Linked DNA regions of Tamandua tetradactyla. The protein of the gene in region 1 interacts with the protein of each later gene in a pairwise test. Links are inferred from orthologs where the notes say so. Each region holds a gene or a part of one and is shown on either strand. Other genes may lie near its edges. The genes, in order: MOS and SEC24C.

Region 1 (9,870 bases):
CATTGGACAATGAAGTGTTAATTAATAGTAGACATCCTCATATACCTCTTGACTTAAGTAGGAATCCCTTAGTGACTCCCTGTTAGGGAAGACAGTGGTGATTGAGCTGAAATACGTACGTGTGCTCTATGATTTTTAAACTTTTTCTTCTGAAATAATCTTGATTTACAAAAGAGTTGCAAAGATAGTACCAAACATTCCTGTATTCTCTTCACTCTGTTTCTCTTAATGTTAACATCTTATATAACCATGAAATTAACATTGGTTGTGTGTGTATTTTTTTAAATTATGTTAAGGACCTATCTATTGATTCTTATTACTTTGAGTGAGTCATTTTTTTTAAAATTGGGAATGAATATTTAGTTTGGTCATATCTTTTCAGAATGTATTATTTTTCTCCTTTGACCTATTAATATGATGAATTAAGTTAACAGATTGCCTAATCGTGATACAACCTTGCATCCCCTAGAATAAATCCACATAGTTTAAAATATTATATGCATTATATTTTTAATGAACTGTTGGATGCTCTTGGCTAATATCTTATTTAGAACTTTTTTGCTCACCAATTTATAAGTTAGATTGATCTGCAGTTTCTTTTTTTTTTTTTTCTTCCAGCGGTCTTTATCTGACATTGGTTTAAATGTAATCCTTAGAAAGAATTTGGAAGTTTTCCTTCTGTGATCTGGAATAGTTTAAGTAGCATCTGGATTACCTGGTCTTTAAGGATTTGATAGAAGGCAACAGAACTTGGGTCTTTATGGCCTATGGAGCAGGCAGAGAAGGGACTGGAGAGCATTTTCTATGGTCCTTTTAGACTTTCTGCCTTCATTGGGTACGGTTTTAGTAAATTGTAGCTGTCCAGCAAATTATATGTTCTTTCTAGGTATTCAAATTCAATGTTCTCTCTTAAAATGTTTAAAAATTTCCACTGTTTTGATCATTTGTCCTTTATTTCGAATTTTGTGTATATGTGCAATTTTTTCTTTTAGATTAGCAAGTGAGTTGTCCATTTTGATTTTTATTCAAACTTTTATTTTTATTTCCTTGTTTTAACTCATTCCTCCTGCTTTCCTTCTTTGTTTCTTCTCCTCCTTTGATTCATATCCTTAAGTCACTTTGATTTTACTTAAAGACCTGAATTTGTTTCTAATATGTTTTCATTTTTGTTGTTTTCTAGGATTCCTACAGTTTTGATTAGTGTTTTCTTTTGACATATCATTGCTTCAGAGTTTTCCCAATTTCCAGATAAAGAGTGTTATTTGCTTTCTAATTTTATTATTAATTTCAATCCTATTTGCCTCTGTTCTTTTTAATTTTTTAAGTTTTGGAATTTGAGGTTTTCTCCCTGGCATACTAGGTCAGTTTTCAAAAGGGGCTTGACAAGAAACTCTGTTAGTTCTTCCAGTCCTGAAAGCTCGAGATAACAGTTAGGTTCACTCTATCGATTATCGTGTCAGTTTTCTACATCATCTCCTATTTTGTGTCCCTCTAATCTGTTTTGGACCTACAGAAGTAATCTAAATTCTCCTATTAAAAACAAGTTTGTACTTACTTGTTATTTCTTGTTTATGAAAATTGTTAGTGTGGGATTTGGTTCACAGTTATTCATTATGTTTATTTCTTTTTTGTGGATTATATACTTTACCATTAAGTATCATCTAAAATTCATTTGAACTGAAATTAGTTTCAATTCCTGAATATTATGTGTGAGGGTCCTTACAAATGAGAATGCTATTTTAGAGGAGGAAGTAGAAAAAAATAACTTTAAAAAAAGTCTTTATGGATTTGGCATAGGACCAGTAATTTGTGACAGTTTGAATTTGACCATTTGAAGTTAGATGGTGGGTATGGTACATACTGTTCGAATGCATAGAAAATTTTGGCATTTCTGCAGTTCCATTCTGTTCTGCACAACCTGGTTTTGTCAACAGCAAATCTGAATAACTGTACTAACTGTACTAACTGTGCTAACTGTGAACACAAGCAAACTAACTGCAGAAAGGAATAACGGTAGTTTCTACACAATTGCTCAAATTTTAGTCCTGCCTGTTTGTCTTGGTAAAACCATGTTAGACTAAAGAAGTTATTAAGTCACTTTATTTTCTAAAAACCTGTCTTACAAATAGTTTTCTACAACGCCACTTCTTTAAAAAATGAATAGAAATAAAGGGAAAAGCTTCTCTGGAAGCAAGTTCAAAGCCAGGCGAACTCAGCCTTTAAAGAGCTAAGGTCCGCAAAGAGGAGCTCTGCACTTGGCCGCTGGACAGCGCTGGGCGCCCAGCAGCCTTCAATGATACACTCCAGTCTCCCACCCGGGACCGAGTTCGTGAAGACCGCCGCGGACAGAGAGGGGCGCAAGTTATAGGCCACGACTGCATAGACCACGTGCTGTCGTTCCCCCGAGTAGGGCACCTCCTTGGTGGCCATTTGCCATAGGGTTATGGCGAAGGAGTAGATGTCTGCTTTGGGGGTGGCCGCCTCTCCTTTCAGGAGCTCCGGGGCTCGGTGCGTGTATGTGCCACCCAGGGGGCACCGTGGGGGCTGGAGGCACAGCAGGCCTTCCAGCTTCTCGGAGCAGCCAAAGTCACCGATTTTGCAGACGTCCTGCTCACTGATCAAAATGTTAGCCGGCTTGAGGTCCAAGTGCACGATTCTTTGCGAGTGGAGGAAAATCAGGCCGTTCACCACATCTAGGGAATACTTCAGGCACCTTCCCAAACTCAATTGCTCCCCGGTCCGGCAGCGAGGCTCCTCCTCGTCCCCACGGTGGTGGGGCGCGCCGTAGATGACTTGGTGCAAAGTGGTATTGCCCCCGAACTCCATGATGATGGTGCCCAGGCTATCGCAGCCCGCAGGCGTGCGCGTACTGGCCGCCACCACCTGAACGATGTTGTCGTGCCGGAGCCTGGCTATGTTGAGCTCAGCCCAGAAGCTTCGCTGCGATGCCAGGCGGTTCTTGGTGCACCTGTTCACCTGCTTCACCGCCACGGGCACACCGTGGTAAGTGGCCTTGTAAACCGAGCCGAACCCGCCAGCTCCCAGTCTCCGGAGGAAGCACACTTGTTCCCAGTCAATGGAGCACCAGGCCAGCCGGCGTGGCAGCCGCGGCGCCCTGGGCGGGGTGCCACCCCAGAAGAGCCTCCCTGCCTTACCTGGGCGCTCCGAGGGGCTACTGCAGGGCCGCGAGTCCACCGAGGGCGACAGCTCTCCAGGCAGGCAACGGCGCAGAGGGAGAGGTGAGGGCATGGCGCCTTCAGGGTGGAGACCCGGGACCCAGATGGACGCAGAGGAAAGAAAGGGCTGCGCCAGCTTGGATGCATGATTGACCAGGCCTTCCCGGCGCCACAGCCTCTTTATCCTCTCCCTTCATTGTCTCCAAATGAGCCACATCTGTGTGCCTTTGCACAGCCAGGGTGTTTTGTGTGTGTGTGTGTGTGTGTGTGTGTGTTTAATCGGATAGGGGAAAAATCTGAAGGAAGCACAACAATCACCTTCAGATGAAAGCATTTCCCTTAAACACTTAAGTGAATTCTTATAAAAGCAAGCTCTCAGGAAGAGCTCACCATATAAACAGCATGGAGCTGCCCCACAGCTCCCCCTCTGTGACACTTTTCTTCAATTATAGCAAAATGAGCTTTTTCCAAGTCTCATCGGCTGAACATTATCAGACCTGAGACTAAAGAGACCACAATAGTAAAATGAAATTATTTCACACTTTGCAGACTCTGATTGTCAGTGTTCTTCTCCAGCTGCATCAAATAACTTCCAGCAGTTATTGGCAGAAAGAGTTGAAAGACAAACAGCAGACATTTCCTTAACCGATTACAGGGATAATTAGGTGCCACATTCATATGGATAAAAGTTGTAATCTTGGAGTAATTGATCCAAATAGAAGCACTGTCCAGCTCAGAACACACACCTCCTAAGTTCATCAGGGAAAAGGAAAATTCTCGGACACTCTATTCTGCTTATATGGCAAATTAGCAAGATTTTAGCAACATATCAACTTCCCAGCAGTCCTCCCATTCCATAGCAATTCGGCCCACCCAGAAAGCTCACTTACAAGAGAGATTCTAGACTTTGCAGCAAATGAGTTACAGAAGTTTTGAAGCAGAATCAGGGGCAGAACAAAAAAGGCTCAGAGTCATGATCAGAGCTTCAAATAATAAGTACAGGAGAATTCTAGAAGAGGAAACTCTGAAGATAAAAAGATAGCACGGACTCACTGGTGCCTATACAGAATGCGGAAAATCAGATTTTGAAATATAATTCAGGGTCTTGCAACCCAACCATAAGTTCTTCCTTTCTAAGTTTCATAATGAAAAAGTAATTTTCATACCATATCCTTGGGAAAATGATAAACAGTATTACCCTATCCATTACAAAACACATGAGAATGTTAGGATCTGTATTTTCTGTCAAATAATAAAGTTCCATTCTGATACTCAGTGCTAAAAGCACATAAGTGATATGCAAGCACATTTCTATGAAAATAGCTCTTCTCTGCTTCTGAAATATGTTGGTTCTGAGAAGATACGTTAAGAAACATGGCTCATTTACATATGTAATTTGAAATTAAGTCCTTTTTAGAATAGGATGTTTATTCCGTGCTACTCCTCTGGTTTAGTATATGATGTTGGGTATTAGATTAAACCTGTATGAGCCTCAATCTTTTCATGTAAGAAATTAGGATAATATTCAATATTAAAATAAACATTATCATCTTGGAATAAAAATTGGGGAATCCTGTCCAGATTAACAACAATAAAACAAAATCTAAACATTAAACTATAGAATATTTTAGTAGAACTACAGTTGTATGCAATTGTACTGAACCCCAAATATAAGAGGATGAGAGCAAACCAAAACAACAATGAACAGAGTTGTGTGGGTTTGAAGCTATTATGTACACCAGAAAAATCACATCCTTTAATCCTCATTCAGTATTGCTGGGTGTGATCTTTTTGATTGTTTCCTTGGATATGTGACCCACCCAATTGTGGATGGTAAATTTGATTAGATGGTTTCCACGGAAATCTGTCTTCACCCATTCAAATGGGGTTGCTTATAGAGTTCTTTAAAAGGGAACCATTTTGGAAAAATTCTTAGAGCCAACAGAATTAACAGAGCCCACACAGCCAGAGACCTTTTGGAGATGTGAAAGGAAGGCACCGCGGGTGAAGCCTTATGAAATGAGGAGAGAACGCTAGCAGATATTTGTGTACCTTCCCAGCTGAGAGAGGTATCCAACACCCAAAGACCCCAGGAGATGCCAGTCACGTGACTTCCCAGCTGACAGGAGTGTTCTGGATGGCAATAGCCTATCTTGAGTGAAGGTAACCTCTTTTTGGTGCCTCTAAGGACATTTTCATGGCCTCAGAACTGTAAACTTGCAGCTTAGTAAATTCTCTTTTTAATAGCCATTCCATTTCTGGTATATTGCAATCCAGCAGCTTACAAACTAAAACAGAGTTAAATAAGAAAGTAATAAAACTATATCCTATAATAGGTCTAATTGCTAAACTGACTTAATAGCCATCATCTATTTGGAATTGTAATAACCATGAATATGAAGGTTCTGAAATTGTTGTAACATGCTGGAGTGCTGCAAATAGTAGCAGAATAAGAGCGATAGACATTACACTTTCTAGCTACTACTTATGATTTAAGATCATGTGACTTGTTATCATGTAATCTTTATTTCTAAGGTAGTAGCATAAACAATTTTTTCAAAGTTTAGAGTCTGACTTTTTCACATAAAATGTGAGGTACTATGGAAAATGTGGTAATCTATACACGCATGAACTCTAAATCCACTAGATCTGTCACCTGCCAAATTGTCCAAGAATATTTAATTGAATATCCATTTTTAAAATAGCCATTTGTTTTCCTTTTTTTTAGGCATCTTAAAATTTGTTTCTCTTTCTCTGTAAACTATAATTGCCCTGAAGACAGGAATTATGTCCCTTAGAGATTTTTTTCTCTCCTGTGAGTAGCACAGTACCTAGTACATAAAAGTTCTTAATTAAAGTTTAATTTTAATCCTGATTTTGTTACCATGTATATATGTACAGATATATAATATTATATAATTTAAAGTATTATATATAATATTTTGTATCTCCAAAATGGATAAAGCCCAAACCAGGTCATAAAGAACAAAGGTTTTAGGGTCACATGACCCAGGTTTCTTATTGTCTCTGTGCCTCAGTTTCCTCACCTGGAAAATATTCTACTGACTTCAGGTTTGCTGTGAAGATGAACAGTTTCAAATACTTAGATCAGGGCCCGGCTTATGGTAACACATAAATGTTATTATTACAAAACTCATAAAAAATAATCTGTGTGGATTTATACCCTTAAGAAACAAACATCTGTGTTCTAGTTTGCTAGCTGAGGGAATGCAATATGACAGAAATGGAATGCCTTTTAAAAAGGGGAATTTAATAAGTTGCTGGTTTATAGTTCTAAGGCCAAGAAAATGTCCTGATTGAAACAAGTCTATAGAAATGTCCAATCTGAGGCATCCAGGGAAAGATACTTTGGTTCAAGAAGGTCAATAAAGTTCAGGGTTTCTTTTTCAAGTGGAAAGGCACATGGTGAACACGGTCAGGGTTTGTCTCTTGGCTGGAAGGGCACATGTCGAACACGGCATCATCTGCTAGCTTCCTCTTTGGCTTCCTGTTTCATTAAGCTCCCTGGAGGCATTTTCCTTCTTCATCTCCAAAGGTTGCTGGCAGTTGGACTCTCTGCTTCTCATGGCTATGTCATTCTGCAGCGTTCTGTCATCCTTCCCAGATCTCTCTGAATCTCCTCTCTTTTATAAAATTCCAGTAAAGTAATCAAGACCCACCTAGAATGGGTGGAGACATGTCTCCACCTATTCCAGTTTAACAACCACTCTTGATTGAGTCACATCTCCAGGGAGATGATCTAATTAAAGTTTTTAACATACAGCACTGAATAGGGATTAGAAGAAACAGCTGCCTTTACAAAATGGGATTAAGATTAAAACATGGTTTTCTAGGGTACACAAACCTTTTCAAACTTTCACAGTCCGTTAGACAGTATTGGTTTAAAAGTTATTCTACCAGGACTGTAGGGTAACATTGCATTAACCCAATTTAAATTTTACTTGGAGCATTTTTCTGCTTTAAAATTTTATTTCTGATGTTAAAGATAGAAAAGCATGTCACATTACTGTTATGGACTAAAACTGCTACAGGTGTACATTAATCTGATCAAATGTGATAACCTCACATCATACCCAGACAAAGACAAGAGTGGAGTTGATTCAAAACATCTGGGATTTTTAAAAAAGTCTGTGAGAAAGTGATAGGGACAGAACATGTGGATGACATCTTCAGTAACACTTCCTACCTGGGGATTGTAAATGAAACAAAGGAAAGAAAGGAAGGAGACTTATGTGGACCCAATTGATGAGCCAAATGCTCTGAGGATCTTGGAGTAAAGGCTCTGTGTTGTCTACTCTTTCTCTGCAAACACCATTAGGAAGAGTTACTTCTCAACAGTGTATGTATCAAAAGATGTACAATAGAGATCAGAATTAACAGCTCATTTAAATATAATTTTAACCAAAGAGATTGAGGAACATTAATTGTGGGAGACACTCTTCTTTGGGCTAATGCTGCAGGCTTCCTGAGTTTATAAAAAGGGCTTTAGCTGCGAAATAGTCTTAGGCTGGACAAATCGAGTTCAGGGATTGATGTGGAATCCAGGAGTTCAACCCAGTGCTGTACCCAATGCCTCTTTCCTCGATTCACAAGTCATTGGAAGATGAACGGCCTCTCTTCAAAGTCAGTCAGCAGAATAAGTGGACATCACAGGTGCACCTGTACTAACACACCTGTGCAGGACACCTGTATACTCATGGGCTTCCACCATCTCTTTGACTTTGAAGTTTCCAAGGCTTGGCAATTTGGTACCTGAATCTCTCATTCCAAACCACATGTATTTCATCCATGGTGGGTCCATTTCTTTCCTCGATGCCAGAAAGCCCTGGATGAACCGTCATAACCCCCAAAGATGATATGCCAGTCTAATAACAAATGTTCACCAAGCCACTGTTTTCTGACCTTTCTATGTAAACAATAACTTTATTTCCATTTAGAGTAATCCCATGCTTTTACAGAAGACATTTTAAAAAGCCAATAAACTCAATAGCTGCAGCAACAAGTCACTGAATCCTATTGAGCATGGCCATGTGGAAATGGTTAGGACCATATTTGCACCTGGGAAAGGAGAGGGAACTGTTCCCCAGGACCCACTTTTTTCACCATCACCTCAAGGTATAACCCAATTTCAGACATGTTAAAATGTGAAGGAGTATGAGTTTTGGAATTGTTGAAATATGGTATTACTACTTACAGGCATGAATTTAGATGGCAAATTCACTTTTTTTAGAACTAAAAAATTAAGATGTAAATGAATGCATATGCTTTATTAAAAATACACATATTTCCAAGATTATAGTCAAATCTGAAAACATTTTTTTACTTCAGTGGAATTATACTATTAAGATTCTAAAATTTGAGTCTTATAAGTAGCACAATGTCATAGACTTGTTTCCATGTCAGTGCAATAGATACAGAGCTGCTTTATTCTAATATAATATTAACAAGAGCAGATCCCAGCTTTGTGGACCATATAGCTTATACAGCCTGGGGTATTTTCTTTAAGAAGAAGATTAAAAATTAAGTGTGGAAGTGAATATGTTTTCAGATGAGAGAAGTCACAACAAATTACAAATTGTAAAAAGCTGACAAATAGCACAGACATCACAAAATCCAGAGAAATATCATAATTTGATTGATAAAGTGCCCAACACACTCTTCACAACATCTGTTGGGGGATATACTTTAAAAAAATCACCTCTTCAAATGACATATATTTTGTAATATTTTATGTCAAGATTGAATCTCAGGTAGAACTGAAATTAATATCAGAAGTTTAACAACTTTTATTATTATGGGTTTACTTTACAGAAATTAAACTAATCCAAAATTTTGGAGAAAGTAGAGTACTTGGGAGAGGTTGTTTAAATTGAATTCTATGTAATTTCCAGTCAAACATCCAACATACATGCACATAATGGGATGGTATATTTTAAGCAGGTGATGAAATTATTTAAGGTTCAAGTCAAAACAAATTGCTACTTCCCTAAAATATTTGAATATTGCACTTTTGTAGAAATAGGTAGGTCTGTTCATCATTTGTGAAAGCTTTTTTTGTGTGACTGCAATTTTCATTTTTTTTTGTTTTTTACTGCTTACCGTTTAGAGTTTTATTAACATAAACATTAAAAAGTGTCTATTTGCATTGGGCATCATGAATTGCTTGGTTAGTAATGAGACCCTAGGTCTTGACCAAAACCAGATGTGGGGAGAATGAGTTAATTTTATATTTATTTAAAATTTAATTCATAAATGCAACCATGGCCAATGGTAATATTTGTCACTGTTTTAGTTTGTAAGCTGTCATAATGCAATATATCAGAAATGGAATGGTTTTAAAAATGGAATTTATTAAGATGTAAGTTTACAGTTCTAAGACTGTGAAAATGTCCCAGTTAAGGCATCCAGAGAAAGAAAGAGGTACCTGAACTCCAAAGAAAAAGCTGATGAAGTACAGGGTTTCTCTCTCAGCTGGGAGAGCACATGGTGATATCTGCTAGCTTTCTCTCCTCATTTCATAAGGCTTTCCTGGGGGTGTTTTCCTTTTGGATCTCCGAAGGTCTCTATCTGTGGGGGCTCTGTTGCCTCTGAAGCTCTTTCCAAAATGGTTCCCTCTTAAATGACTCTAGCAGACAACCCCACCTTGAATGGGTGGAGACACATCTCTATGGAA
Region 2 (11,858 bases), on another chromosome or scaffold:
TGTTTGGGCTATGGCCATGCTAATTTTTTCCTATTGGAAGGGTCTGTCACTAATATGGGGTAGGGAGATGGAACCATCTGATGTTCTGGAGAGGCTGGGCCCTCTAGGTTTCAGGACTTATTTGGACTAACACACAAGGATAAGGTGAACTTCCTAGGCTCCTTCTCCACACTTATATTCAATGTTGAAAATACATATTCTGGAACCCCAATAAAAGTGTTTTCCTTTAGATAGCTTTCCTTTCATAACTGGTCTTGACCAAAGTTAACCATATGGTCCTACTAAACCTCATCTAAAGGAAAGGGGGAGGTCAGAAGAGACAAACACAAATAATCCTAAAGTTCCCTCTTCCTATCCCTGAGGATAGGCTCAACAGGAATCAGAAATTCATTCAAAATGTATGTCTAATCAAGAAAAAAAAAAACTCAAGTTCAAAAAAAGAGGAAGAACATGCAAAAGAACCCAAGTACAGAGATAGATCAATAATTCACAGAGCTGGCTATCACCAGCACTTGTAACCTAGAAAGAAAAAGACAACAAACGACAAAGAGTGGAAGGAAGAGAGAAAGGGATTTAAGGGAAATATAGATGAAAAAGCAGAAAAGGAAACAGATCCTCATGCATTTCTAACCCTACCAGCTTCATCAGATTGATTTTTAGGTTGACCCAAGTACATACCTCTGCATTTGAACAGTAGAGCTCGGCCCATTCTGTATATCTCCTTGGCCAAACTGGCCATATGCAGTCTGGTCACAAGAAGCCTGTGCTGTTGAGGCAGGAGGTGCCCCTGAGGAAGGTGGGGCTCTTGACACACCTAAGGGTAAAGGACAGAAACTAAGTAATTGTGAAATAATTTTTTTTCTTCCACCCTAAGCCAGGAATGCAAAGCAAGGACCAATAAACTCAGACCTTCATTGGCCCAATACCACAGCTTTGCAGTGAAAATGACATCACCAACATGCAACTCTAGCTACAGCAACATTCTGAACATGGATGCCTAGACAGAGTCTTTACCCTCCTAGACAGCTATACTTGGGGTGAAGCTGTAGACACAGCCACAAGAATGTAAGGCCTTCCTGTGATCATCATCCTCTCCAACTCCATCCAGCACAGTCAATGATGTTACCCTAGACAAAAAGTCAAGTCTTTTATGGAAAAGACCATACTCCAGAATTCAGAAACACGAAGCATATATGAGAAAAGTAGCATAGAAGATAACCAACTAATATACTGAACTAGATTGTAAAGAAAGGCGCCTCTTGGGAAGACTCTTCTATCACCTTCCTCTTCTTTTTCATCTATATTTTTTTCACCTACTTCTAAGTGTGAAAGCTCCCAAAAGCACAGAGCTCAGGAAGTATTCCCCAGAAGCTGAAGACCTTGTTTCTGTCCAAGAGTTCATTTAGTGCAGTTGATTTGTCCTCCTATTAATGCTGGTACCTCTGACGTCACAAAAGTTCTAGTTCAACCTTTCTACTCATCAGAGCTACCATCAAAGCTACTTATGAAGAAAACAATTAGTAACTTCACACATCACTCTTGAAATGCTGCCGACCCCTGTTCAAAAATAATTTTTTTTCTGTCTTCAGCAGAAATTAGACACTACAAAACCTGCCTAGAAAAACATGATTAATCTGAACTTGCTCACAAGCCATGACTAAAACCAGATATGTTTTCCTCCTGTGGCAATACCAAATTCCATCTTGATAAGCCAAGACTTTGGAGAACTGTGGACTTTGTCCTGTCAAAGTCCCAACCCAGGGTAGGCTCATCTACAGACCTGAAACCTAATCTCTCCTAATCTTTCCAATTCATATTTTCCAAATCTTAATTAAAAATGGTAATACTTCATTTATTTCCCAAATCCTACCTTTGCCTCCTTGGTGCCCTCTTTTTCCCTTATGTCTTTATGTAATTTATACTCTTAAAAAAAAGCATAAAGTTTGGTATACCCTATATTCTGAGGCAGCCTAACCAAAGATCTACTGTTAACTACTCTCCAAAAAGCCCCTCCCAACAATCTGTAGAGCTGCCCTTCCCTGAAAAAGTAACATAATAACCAAACATTGACCCTAAGGCAGCATTAGATTAGTCTTCTTCCATTGCCCTGATAGTACAGAACATCTAAGCAGAGGAAACTCAAGCAAAGAAGAATGGTATCATCAGAAAGGTATGAGAGGCATCAAAACTAAGGCACAAATATAACTATACCTTTCATCCATGAATTAGATCTATGTGTCCCAGAATCATTTACAGATAAAACCATCTGTCCAATTAGAGGCATTCTCAATATACATGAGAAATAAGTGATTTCAGGAAGACTTTAGGACAATGGGAAATATTAAGTGCCAGTCATAGGCTCTAGAGGAGCTGTGACCACACTCCTTCCAGCAAGCTCTGAACAATACAGCTAGGTATACTTTAGCACGATATCAACAGGTAATGAACTGCCACTGAACCTGGAAGATGTGTTGCCACTAGATGCCTTAAGGCTGAACCAGAAACAGTCATCCTATAGTAAAAACAGGGAAGGGCAGCTACCCACAGTGCTCCCAGTGAAGAGAGCCAGATTTATATTCCTCAGTCCCAGTCACCATAATTCTCCAGGCAACTTAGCTAGGCAATACAACCCAAACTAAAACTCTTCTGATTCCTCTCCATGGCTCAAAGAAAACTTGTAAACATATACCTGGGGGAGGTGTTGGCTGATAGCCTGGTACTGGGCCATTGTAGGCTCCATAGGGAATGGGAGGGACAGTGGACTCTGGCTGCCCACCATAGCTGGACTGATGATACCCTGGGTAGACAGGCTGGGGCTGCCCATATGGCAGCACAGGTGGAGCTGACTGGTTGACGTTCATTATGAGAGCATCCCCAACTTGGTCTCACCTATCAGATGAGAAAGAAGAGAGAAATTAGTCAAAACCAACTTCCTAAAGATAAAGCAAATATTTGGGGTAGGAAGTAGGAGTAAAAGGGATTGACTTTATCAGAGAATGATTAGCCTAATCATTTCTACACAATAACAGGATCTAGTAATTTTCTGTCCCAGCGAGTACCCAGTTTACCTCCTCAGAGAAAGAAAGGATTTTGTTTCTCTGAACCACATGCTTTGTCAATGCCAAGGGGTTATAAATTTCAACTTCAGAGAAGCCCCCTGGAATGGAGCAACAGTTTTCATTCCCCAGTGATATGACTTCTAGCATCTAGTCACACAAAGAGTCCTGGGGCTGAAGAACTACTGTGATATTACAAGGTAAATTAAACAATGCTCCCACATCTATTCATTCAACAAACTCTGAGTACCCTAAAGTGTACTAGTGTTTTTTAATCACCGAGACTAAAACAGATCAATGAAGTTCCCTCTTCCTCAAAAGGCAAATTTTTGAGTAACTGTGAGAGAAATGACATGCTTTGATTAACCTGAATAATCAAAATGCTACTCCATCCCCAGTCTTCCCACCAAAAGGGTATATCGACCTTAGAACTGAAGCATCAAAATCCCTAACTGTAAAAGATACCTGAAAACTCTGGTTAAGGTACCAGATTACAGATGATTATAGACCAGGCACAAAAACTTCACAATAACCTAAGGAAACAGCTCAAGAATCAGTGGCGAAGTTAGACTTGATGTAAAAGGTCACTCATCTTATGCTTCAAACAGAGAGTCTGTGAGTGTTCCAAACCCCAATGTACTTCAATTCTTCTGTTCTGCTCTCCTTATATGATTTTAATGAATATAGGCCACTGCCAAAATTACTACAATCTTGTCAGGTGAGAAGAATGAATTAGAAGGCCTTTCTAGGGTCCTTCCAAGAAGAGTATTGTCTGATGACATCTACTTTAATCAGCCTCACCAACCCAACTATCTTAAAGACGGAAGGGGTCCAGAAAGCAGAAGAGCTCACAGTTGATGCAGTGTAACAATGGGTACTCTCCCTTTTGCTAGAAAGGGCCATCTTGACTATAGAAAAGCTGAGCTGCTACCGGACTAGAGCTCTTTAAACTGAAAGCCATCTCAGGAACGGTTCGAAATCCTAAACCTTGCACAGATCAGTGACACTAAACTAAACACATAGTCCCCTCTCATTTATGTCCCTTAAAGTCCTAGAGGGAAACAACAAAGGAGCTTTTTCTCCAAGAAATAATCCCCTCAAACACACCCAAGCGCTTGGAATCAGGCTCAAGTCTCACTCCATTCTGAAGACAGTCGAGGATGACAACTCAAGGGGGCGGGGCAAGCTTCCTAGAACTCTGGAAGCAGACGAGCAGTGGAGGCTGGGAGGGCCAGGCATCAAGAACGAGGGAGACGAAGAGGGCGCTGGTCCTTTAAACTTGGGAACCGAGCGTCTTGAGCCCTTCAACAGGCTCGGGGTAGGAAGCTGGAGTCGAAATCTGGGCGGGAGAAGAAGGGAGGGTCTACGGCTGACCCTGGATTGTAGATGCGTGAGATAAGGGTCTCTCCCCGAGCCCCGCCTCCGGACTCCTCCCTTCCTTCTCACACTGGACCCTGATGTGGCCAGTGATACCCCGACCTCTCCTCTGCTTTCCTACCCACCAACCTCCCGATGCCACTCCTTACCCGGCTCCAGATCCAGGTTCGACTTCGTTCCTAACGTCAAGGCTCCCAAGCTTCACTTCCGGTTCCGAGGGGGCCGTAGCGTCGCTCCCGGAAGTCCAGCCCCCACGTTCGTGGGCCGGGCTGCTCCACTGCCACGTCTACACTAGGCACGCTCTCAGGAACCCGGATGCTAGGCATGCGCAACTTCCATCACTCATGGCCATCCGCTGGGAGGCTCCATGGATTCTTATGCATTTCCGCCTTTTTTTTTTTTTTCCTGGCTTCACATGACTTAGTCATTTTATAACCCCAACGACTGAGATACGCTTTGAGAAGGTTGGGTCAGAGTGTCTTTAGTGACGCCCCCTCAATCTGCCAATGACCTATTAGTGCCCTCTGATCTTTTTTTTAAATTAATGAAACATGCAAACACAAACTTTAAAAAAATTTTTTATTGATACCACAACTACAAGCACATACATTCTTAACATACGAACATTACATACATGGTGCACAATCAGTGGTTCACAGTATCATCACATGGTTGTATATTCATTACCATGATCTTTTTTAAAATTTATTAATTAAAAAAATTAAGAACAAACAAAAACATTAACATATCATTCCGTTCTACATATATAATCAGTAATTCTCAATATCATCACATAATTGCATATTCATCATTTCTTAGAACATTTCCTTGATCATTAGAACATTTACATCACTCCAGAAAAAGAAATAAAAAGAAAAATTCATACATGCCACATACCCCTTACCCCTCTCTCTCATTGACCACTAGTATTTCCATCTATCCAATATATATTTTTAAAATTTTAATATTTGTTTCCCTTATTATTTATTTTTAATACATGTTTTACTCATCTGTCCATAAGGTAGATAAAAGAAGCATCAGACACAAGGTTTTCACAATCACACAGTTACATTGTGAAAGCTATATCATTATACAATCATTTTCAAGAAACATGGCTACTGGAACACAGCTCTACAGTTTCAGGGACTTCCCTCTAGCCTAATATACCTTAATCTAAAAAGGGGGTATCTATATAATGCATCAGGATAACCTCTCGACTCTGTTTGAAATCTGTCAGCTGCTGAGACTTTATCTTGCATTTCTCTCTTCCCCCTTTCGGTCAAGAAGGCTTTCTGAATCAGTTGATGCTGAGTCCCAGCTCATTCTAGGATTTCTGTTCCACGTTGCCAGGGAGGTTACACCCCTCAGAGTCAATGTCCCACATAGAGAGGGGTTGGGCAGTGAATTTGCTTTCCATGTTGGCTGAGAGAGAGGCCACATCTAAGCAACCAAAGAGGTTCTCTGGGGGTGACTCTTAGGCATAATTTTTGGGGTTTTTTTTTTTTTTTTTTTTTTTTGCCTGGGCAGGCATTGGGAATTGAACCAGGATCTCCAGCATGGCAGGTGAGAACTCTGCCTGCTGACCCACTGTGGCCTACCCATCTTAGGCCTAATTTTAAGTAGGTTTAGCCTGTCCTTTGCAGGGATGAGTTTCATAGGAACAAACCCCAAGATTGAGTGCTCGGCCTATTGATCTGGTTGTCCCCACTGCTTGGGAGAATATCAGAAATTCTCCAAATGGGGAAGATAGTGACCTCTGATCTTGAGTCCTATGGTGACTTCCTGCTGGCCTCTGACCTCACTGATTTCCACCTTTGAGGTTGTTCTCACTGGTGTTTTTTTGCTGAATGTATTTATGGTAGTAAAGGGCACTAACTCTGCTTGTCCATGGGATTCTGTAATTTTTAATAATCACAGTTAGCAAAGGGCTTATGGGTGAGAATTCTGGCTCAGTATTTCGCTGTTTTTGGCACTTAATCTCTTTGTGCCTCAGTTGCCTTCATCTTTCTTCTAGTTTGCTAGCTGCTGGAATGCAATATACCAGAAACAGAGTGGCTTTTAAAAAGGGGAATTAAATAGTAGTTAACAGTTCTAAGGCCGAGAAAATGTCCCAGTTAAAGCAAGTTTATAGAAATGTTCAATTTAAGGCATCCAGAGAAAGATACCTTGGTTCAAGAAGGTCAATAAAGTTCAGGGTTTCTCTCTCAAGTGGAAGGGCACATGGCAAACACAGTCAGAGTTTCTCTCTCAGCTGGAAGGGCACATGGCGAACAGGGCGTCATCTGCTAGCTTTCTCTCCTGGCTTCCTGTTTCAAGAAGCTCCCCAGGAGGCGTTTTCCTTCTTCATCTCCAAAGGTCGCTGGCCTGTGGACTCTTTGCTTCTCATGGCTATGTTGTTCTCTGCTTTCTCAGAATCTCTATCATTCTCCGAAATGTTCTCTCTTTTATAGGACTTCAGAAACTGATAATCAAGACCCACCCAAATGGGTGGAGACATGTCGTCACCTAATCCAGTTTAACCACCACTCTTAATTAAATCACATCTCCAGGGAAATGATCCAATTACAGTTTCAGACATACAATACTGAATAGGGATTAAAAGAAACGGCTGCCTTTACAAAATGGGATTAGGATTAAAACATGGCTTTTCTAGGGTACATACATCATTTCAAACCAGCACAATCTTAAAAATGGAACTATTGATGTCCAATCTTATAGTGGGTTGAGAAGATTGAATTTGACAAGTCACGTAGGCTGTCTGGCACCATAGTAAGCACTCAGCAAAGATTGGCTGTTCTCAATTAACCATTTTCATACAGCCTCTTCCTTTAGGTGCAGAGATTTGCCAGAACCAGAAGATAGGATCTCTGCTCTCAGAGTGCCCCTAGTCTATTGGAAAGGCTACAGTCCTTCCAGTAATTATTATTACCTGATCTAAAGAATTCCAATAATTGTACCTAAGACTTATGGGATTTTTTTTTCTTATATATGACCTCATTTAATACTGAGGACAACTATTAACAACTATTTTGTGAGTAGTGTTGTATGCCATGTTATGTTCTGGGTGCTGGAAATATAGTAATGAACAAAACAAAGTCCTTGATCTCATATTGTTGACAGTAGATATTAATTATTCTGAGGCACAAAGAAGTTAATTTGTTGAAAAAATTCATTGCACATGTAGTCTGTGCTGAAAACTGTATTAAGCATTGAATATGCTTTAGCGAACAGGAAGATCATCCCTGGCCTCAGGAGTTTATACTCGAGGTCAGTAGTTCTAAAATGTGACCCTGGGAGCAAGAGTCAATATCACTTGGGAACTTGCTAGAAATTCAGACTTACCCTAGAAATACTGAATCAAAAACTGGAAGTGGGAACCAGCAATTTATGGTTTAACAAGTCCTTCAGGTGATTCCATTGCACACTGAAAATAGAGAACCACTGTCTTAGATTAATAATTTGCTAAATTCAAATAACATTTGTTGAGTGCCTACCTTAGGCTGGCCTCACTGCTAACATTGCCCATAATTTATCCAATTTAGAGCTCATCTCAGCATAGTAAAACAGGTATTCTCTGTCCCGCTCAAGGGTGCACCCCTAATAAATGATAGAGCCTATATTCATAGCTTCAGTGCTTTGTTAAATACCAATACCAAGTACCAAACCAATAAAATCAGGAGCCTGGGAATCATTACATATATGTAATGTGTGTATGTAATGTATATATATATGTATACATTAATAGATTATTTTATTACACAATCACCTGATCCTATACACTGTCTTATTTTAGGGGATCAGTAGTGTTTTCTTGTTTGTTTGTTGTTTTTTTTTTTTGACATGTACAGTCTCCAGGAATTGGACCCAGGTCTCCAGCATGACAGGCGAGAATTCTAACACTGAGCTACCTTTGCACTGCAGGGGATCAGTAGTTTTAAAAGCTTTCCAGGTGATTTTAATGTGCATTCAGGTTAATTGAAAGTACTGGCTGGTGTGCAGTTAGCACAATAAATGTTTGAATAACGAATGCATGGATAATTAAGTCCTTTTTTATTTTTTCCCACTGATCAGGTCAAGTGACTACCTGACTCACACAGATAATAAATGACGGAACAAGAACTCAAGTCCAAGTCTTCTGACTCAAAATCTCAAGTGTCTTCTATGACTACATCATACACCAAGGCAAACAGCACCTGGGGCACTATGGGAACAGCTATCTTAAGGAACTCTGTAGCTTTGGATAATCACAGATAGAACAGCATAATTCTATTTTTTTAACAGGAAGACATCTCTTAATATAGGGCACATTCATTTAACAGGAACCTAGAAACTAGTAGAGGTGGGTTTAACATGGGTTGGCATGTTTACCTATCTGTGACTAAAACCACCTGTTGAATGTAAGAGATCATTTAATTCAGCAAACATTTGTTGAGCACTCATTACATCAGGCATTGTTCTGTCTGATAACAGGCTATCGATTGGCTATTGCACAGAGTCTTGCCTTCAAGTCTCTCACAGTCTAGGAGGGAAACAGGCATGTAGACAAATTACAATATTGGTTGAGAAATACAACAATAGAAATTTGAACAAGATACAGATGTTGCCCAGAGCAGGGAAGGATTAACTCTATAGGGGAGGAGTCATCAGATGGTCAGGCAAGGCTCTGTAGAAGCAGCAACAGTTCTATGGGGCAGGGCTGACCGGGAGAATTCCTCTCCATAGCACCCAGCACTACAGTGGAATACAGATCTCCACTTTGATTATAAATGGTACACGAGGAGGCACTCTTTTCTGGGGAGTTTGGGAACTTTTTGCAAACCCGTTGCTTGTCGGCTCTGGAACTGAAGCCTCTGCCATCGCCATTTTGAAATGGGCTTTGAAGGAAAGTAGATGGGATCAGTCCCTGATCCTATCAAGAAAGGCACAGTCCTTGAGAGAGTATACGTTAGTTGTAGAGCCCAGAAGCAAATACTCCGAGTTCTGCGGAAAAAGCCCATGCAGGAGAATGGGGGGACATGGGAAGGCAACAGTTTGACTATAATTAGCACTGGGAGTAACCTAGCTGGGGGAGGGAGGGGAGTACTGCTGGCATCTATTTTGAGCATAGCTCCGATTGACAGGCCACGTGTGCTGGACTGTACTGATCTGAGGGCTAAGTTGCCTGCCTGTAGTGTGTGGTTTGGGGGGGAGGCCTGGGGCAGCAGGAGCAGGACAGCCGGACAGGGTACCGTCGCCTCAACTTCTCTTCCTGGGACAGTCTGCAAATTCCGGGGACCGTAGGCCAAGCTGAGCAATGGGTGCTGAGGAGGAAGTGCTGGTCACACTGTCAGGGGGAGCCCCCTGGGGCTTCCGACTTCAGGGGGGGGCCGAGCAGAAGAAACCCTTACAGGTGTCCAAGGTAAGGGAGAGCCCCTGAAATGAGGCTTCAGGGAAAGGGGAACCGAAGGGAACCCAGGACGAGTCATGTGGTGGGAGAGAAGCTGAGAGGCAGTGACAAAAAGGAGTGGGAGGTGGGTAGGTGGGCAGGGGTGCATGTTCTGGTCTGGCTGGGGAAATGGTGGCTGACCACAGGCTTCTTGTTGAGGGCGATTAGAGAAGAGAACTCCTGCTTTTCAGGAAGCAGAGAAAAAGGAAGGCTCTGCTTCAGTTTCCTGGGGCACGATGGTAGCAGAGCACTTTGCTGGATCCGTACCTCTACTATAAATTCCAGGAATGTAGGGAAGATTCTAATTTCTCTCTGACTAAACTGATATGTGATGAGCTAAGGCTGACTCACCCAGCCCAGACCTGCCCAGACCCCCAGCCCTGTCTTCCTTCCTGCCTTCAAGTGGTTTTCTCTCCCTAAGCCAGATCCTTTCTCTCACTAAGCAAGGCTTTTTAAGTACTGGGGGATGTGGGGTGGAGAGGAATATCTGGCTTCTCAGGTGAAGTGTTACTCTTTCAGTTTCACCCTACAGGCTGCCACTGACTTCTCTGAGCCCCAGTTTCCTCAAATGGGTAAATGGTGGGTAACATAGAACCATTCTAAGGATTTAATGCAACAATACATGTGAAGTACCTAACACAGTGCCTAACATTCAATAAATGGAAGCCACTACCCACTACTACCACATTACTTTAACAGGTATGCACATGCGCACATACATGGCACACAAATAAACACAGTCACAATCTCTAGGAATCTAGCTGGACTCCCTCCAATCTGGAATACTGTTTAAACCCTTCATTGTGTAGATAATGGCCCTTGGGATCCAAAGGCCTGGTAAAGCGCTATTGACAAGTATAGATTTTGCCCTTGGAGGGAAAACTTGGGACTATAACCACTATTTCTGATACTTCCCCCAAACAGTTTTCCCCAAGCCTCTTTCATTCAGTGGTTACTCTACTTCCTCCTAAATGATATGTTATGCTCTCCAATCTTCACCTTCCTCTCTCAGTACAAGGTCCCTCAACTGAAGCCCTTTGCCCCCTCAAAATAAAATCCCTTCCTCACAGGGTCCTTCTTGTCCTAACTCCTTTCATTCTACTCCCCTTGGAGCTCTCCTTCACCTGCAGTCTCTTCTTTCTCAGATCCGAAGACGGAGTCAGGCTGGCAGAGCAGGACTCAGAGAGAGGGACCAGCTCTTGGCCATCAATGGGGTCTCCTGCACCAGCCTCTCTCATGCCAGTGCTATGAGCCTCATTGACACCTCAGGGAATCAGCTTGTTCTCACTGTGAGGCGGTATGGACCTCCCTCAGCTCTACCTCTCACTAACCTGCCCTCAGCAGCTATTAAGTGCCCATTTCTGCTTGAGTGTTTGTGCTAGAGTATACATGCTTATGTATGTCTCCAAGCAGCTTGAATCAATAATTAAGGGATGGGTTGTCAAATGGGTATGTGAGTGTGTGGGCCTACTTCAATCCCTAACCTCATCCTCACATCCCCCTCTCAGCTCATTTCCACCCTCAGCCCTCCAGGCACATTTGCCCCCCAGTTTGTTTTGAGACCTTCACTCTTCACCATCCATTCATTCTACCTGTACCCTGGTCCCCCCTGTCCCCCTAACCTCCTTCTGCTATCTCCTCCAGATCTCTCAAGCTCTCAGTCACCTAGCTCCCCTCTCAAGTCTGATCTTCTCTACCCAGGTCAGGGGCTATGGGGCCTGTGCGATCTCCATCCCCTGGTGAGCTTCAGGTGCTGTCACCCTTGTCTCCACTGAGTCCTGAGCCCCCTGGCGCTCCAGTTCCCCAGCCTCTGCAACCTGGAAGCCTTCGTTCACCCCCTGACAGTGAGGCTTACTATGGAGAAACAGACAGTGATGTTGATGGCCCAGCCGCCCAAGAGAAGCCCCGCCGACCCCGCCGCAGAGGCCCTATGAGGCCCACCCCTCCAGGAGCTCCACCTGATGAGATCTACCTATCTGACAGCCCTGCAGAGCCAGCCC

Evidence for each region.
Region 2: the proteins of MOS (region 1) and SEC24C interact in binary tests that used the Homo sapiens proteins (3 or more experiments, as listed by UniProt). The two-hybrid records come from large-scale screens. The link is inferred for Tamandua tetradactyla from reciprocal best matches to the Homo sapiens genes MOS and SEC24C.

What each region holds. Positions count from the first base shown.
Region 1 is NC_135332.1:99,781,921-99,791,790, forward strand, and holds MOS (proto-oncogene serine/threonine-protein kinase mos), read right to left. Parts: upstream 3,250-9,870; coding exon 2,197-3,249; downstream 1-2,196.
Region 2 is NC_135339.1:22,895,655-22,907,512, forward strand, and holds the start of SEC24C (protein transport protein Sec24C), read right to left. Parts: upstream 4,706-11,858; 5' UTR 4,583-4,705; intron 2,890-4,582; 5' UTR 2,862-2,889; coding exon 2,690-2,861; intron 815-2,689; coding exon 679-814; intron 1-678. Other genes in the region: SYNPO2L (synaptopodin 2-like protein), read left to right, coding at 9,727-9,831, 11,004-11,155, 11,560-11,858. UniProt on the Homo sapiens protein: Component of the coat protein complex II (COPII) which promotes the formation of transport vesicles from the endoplasmic reticulum (ER).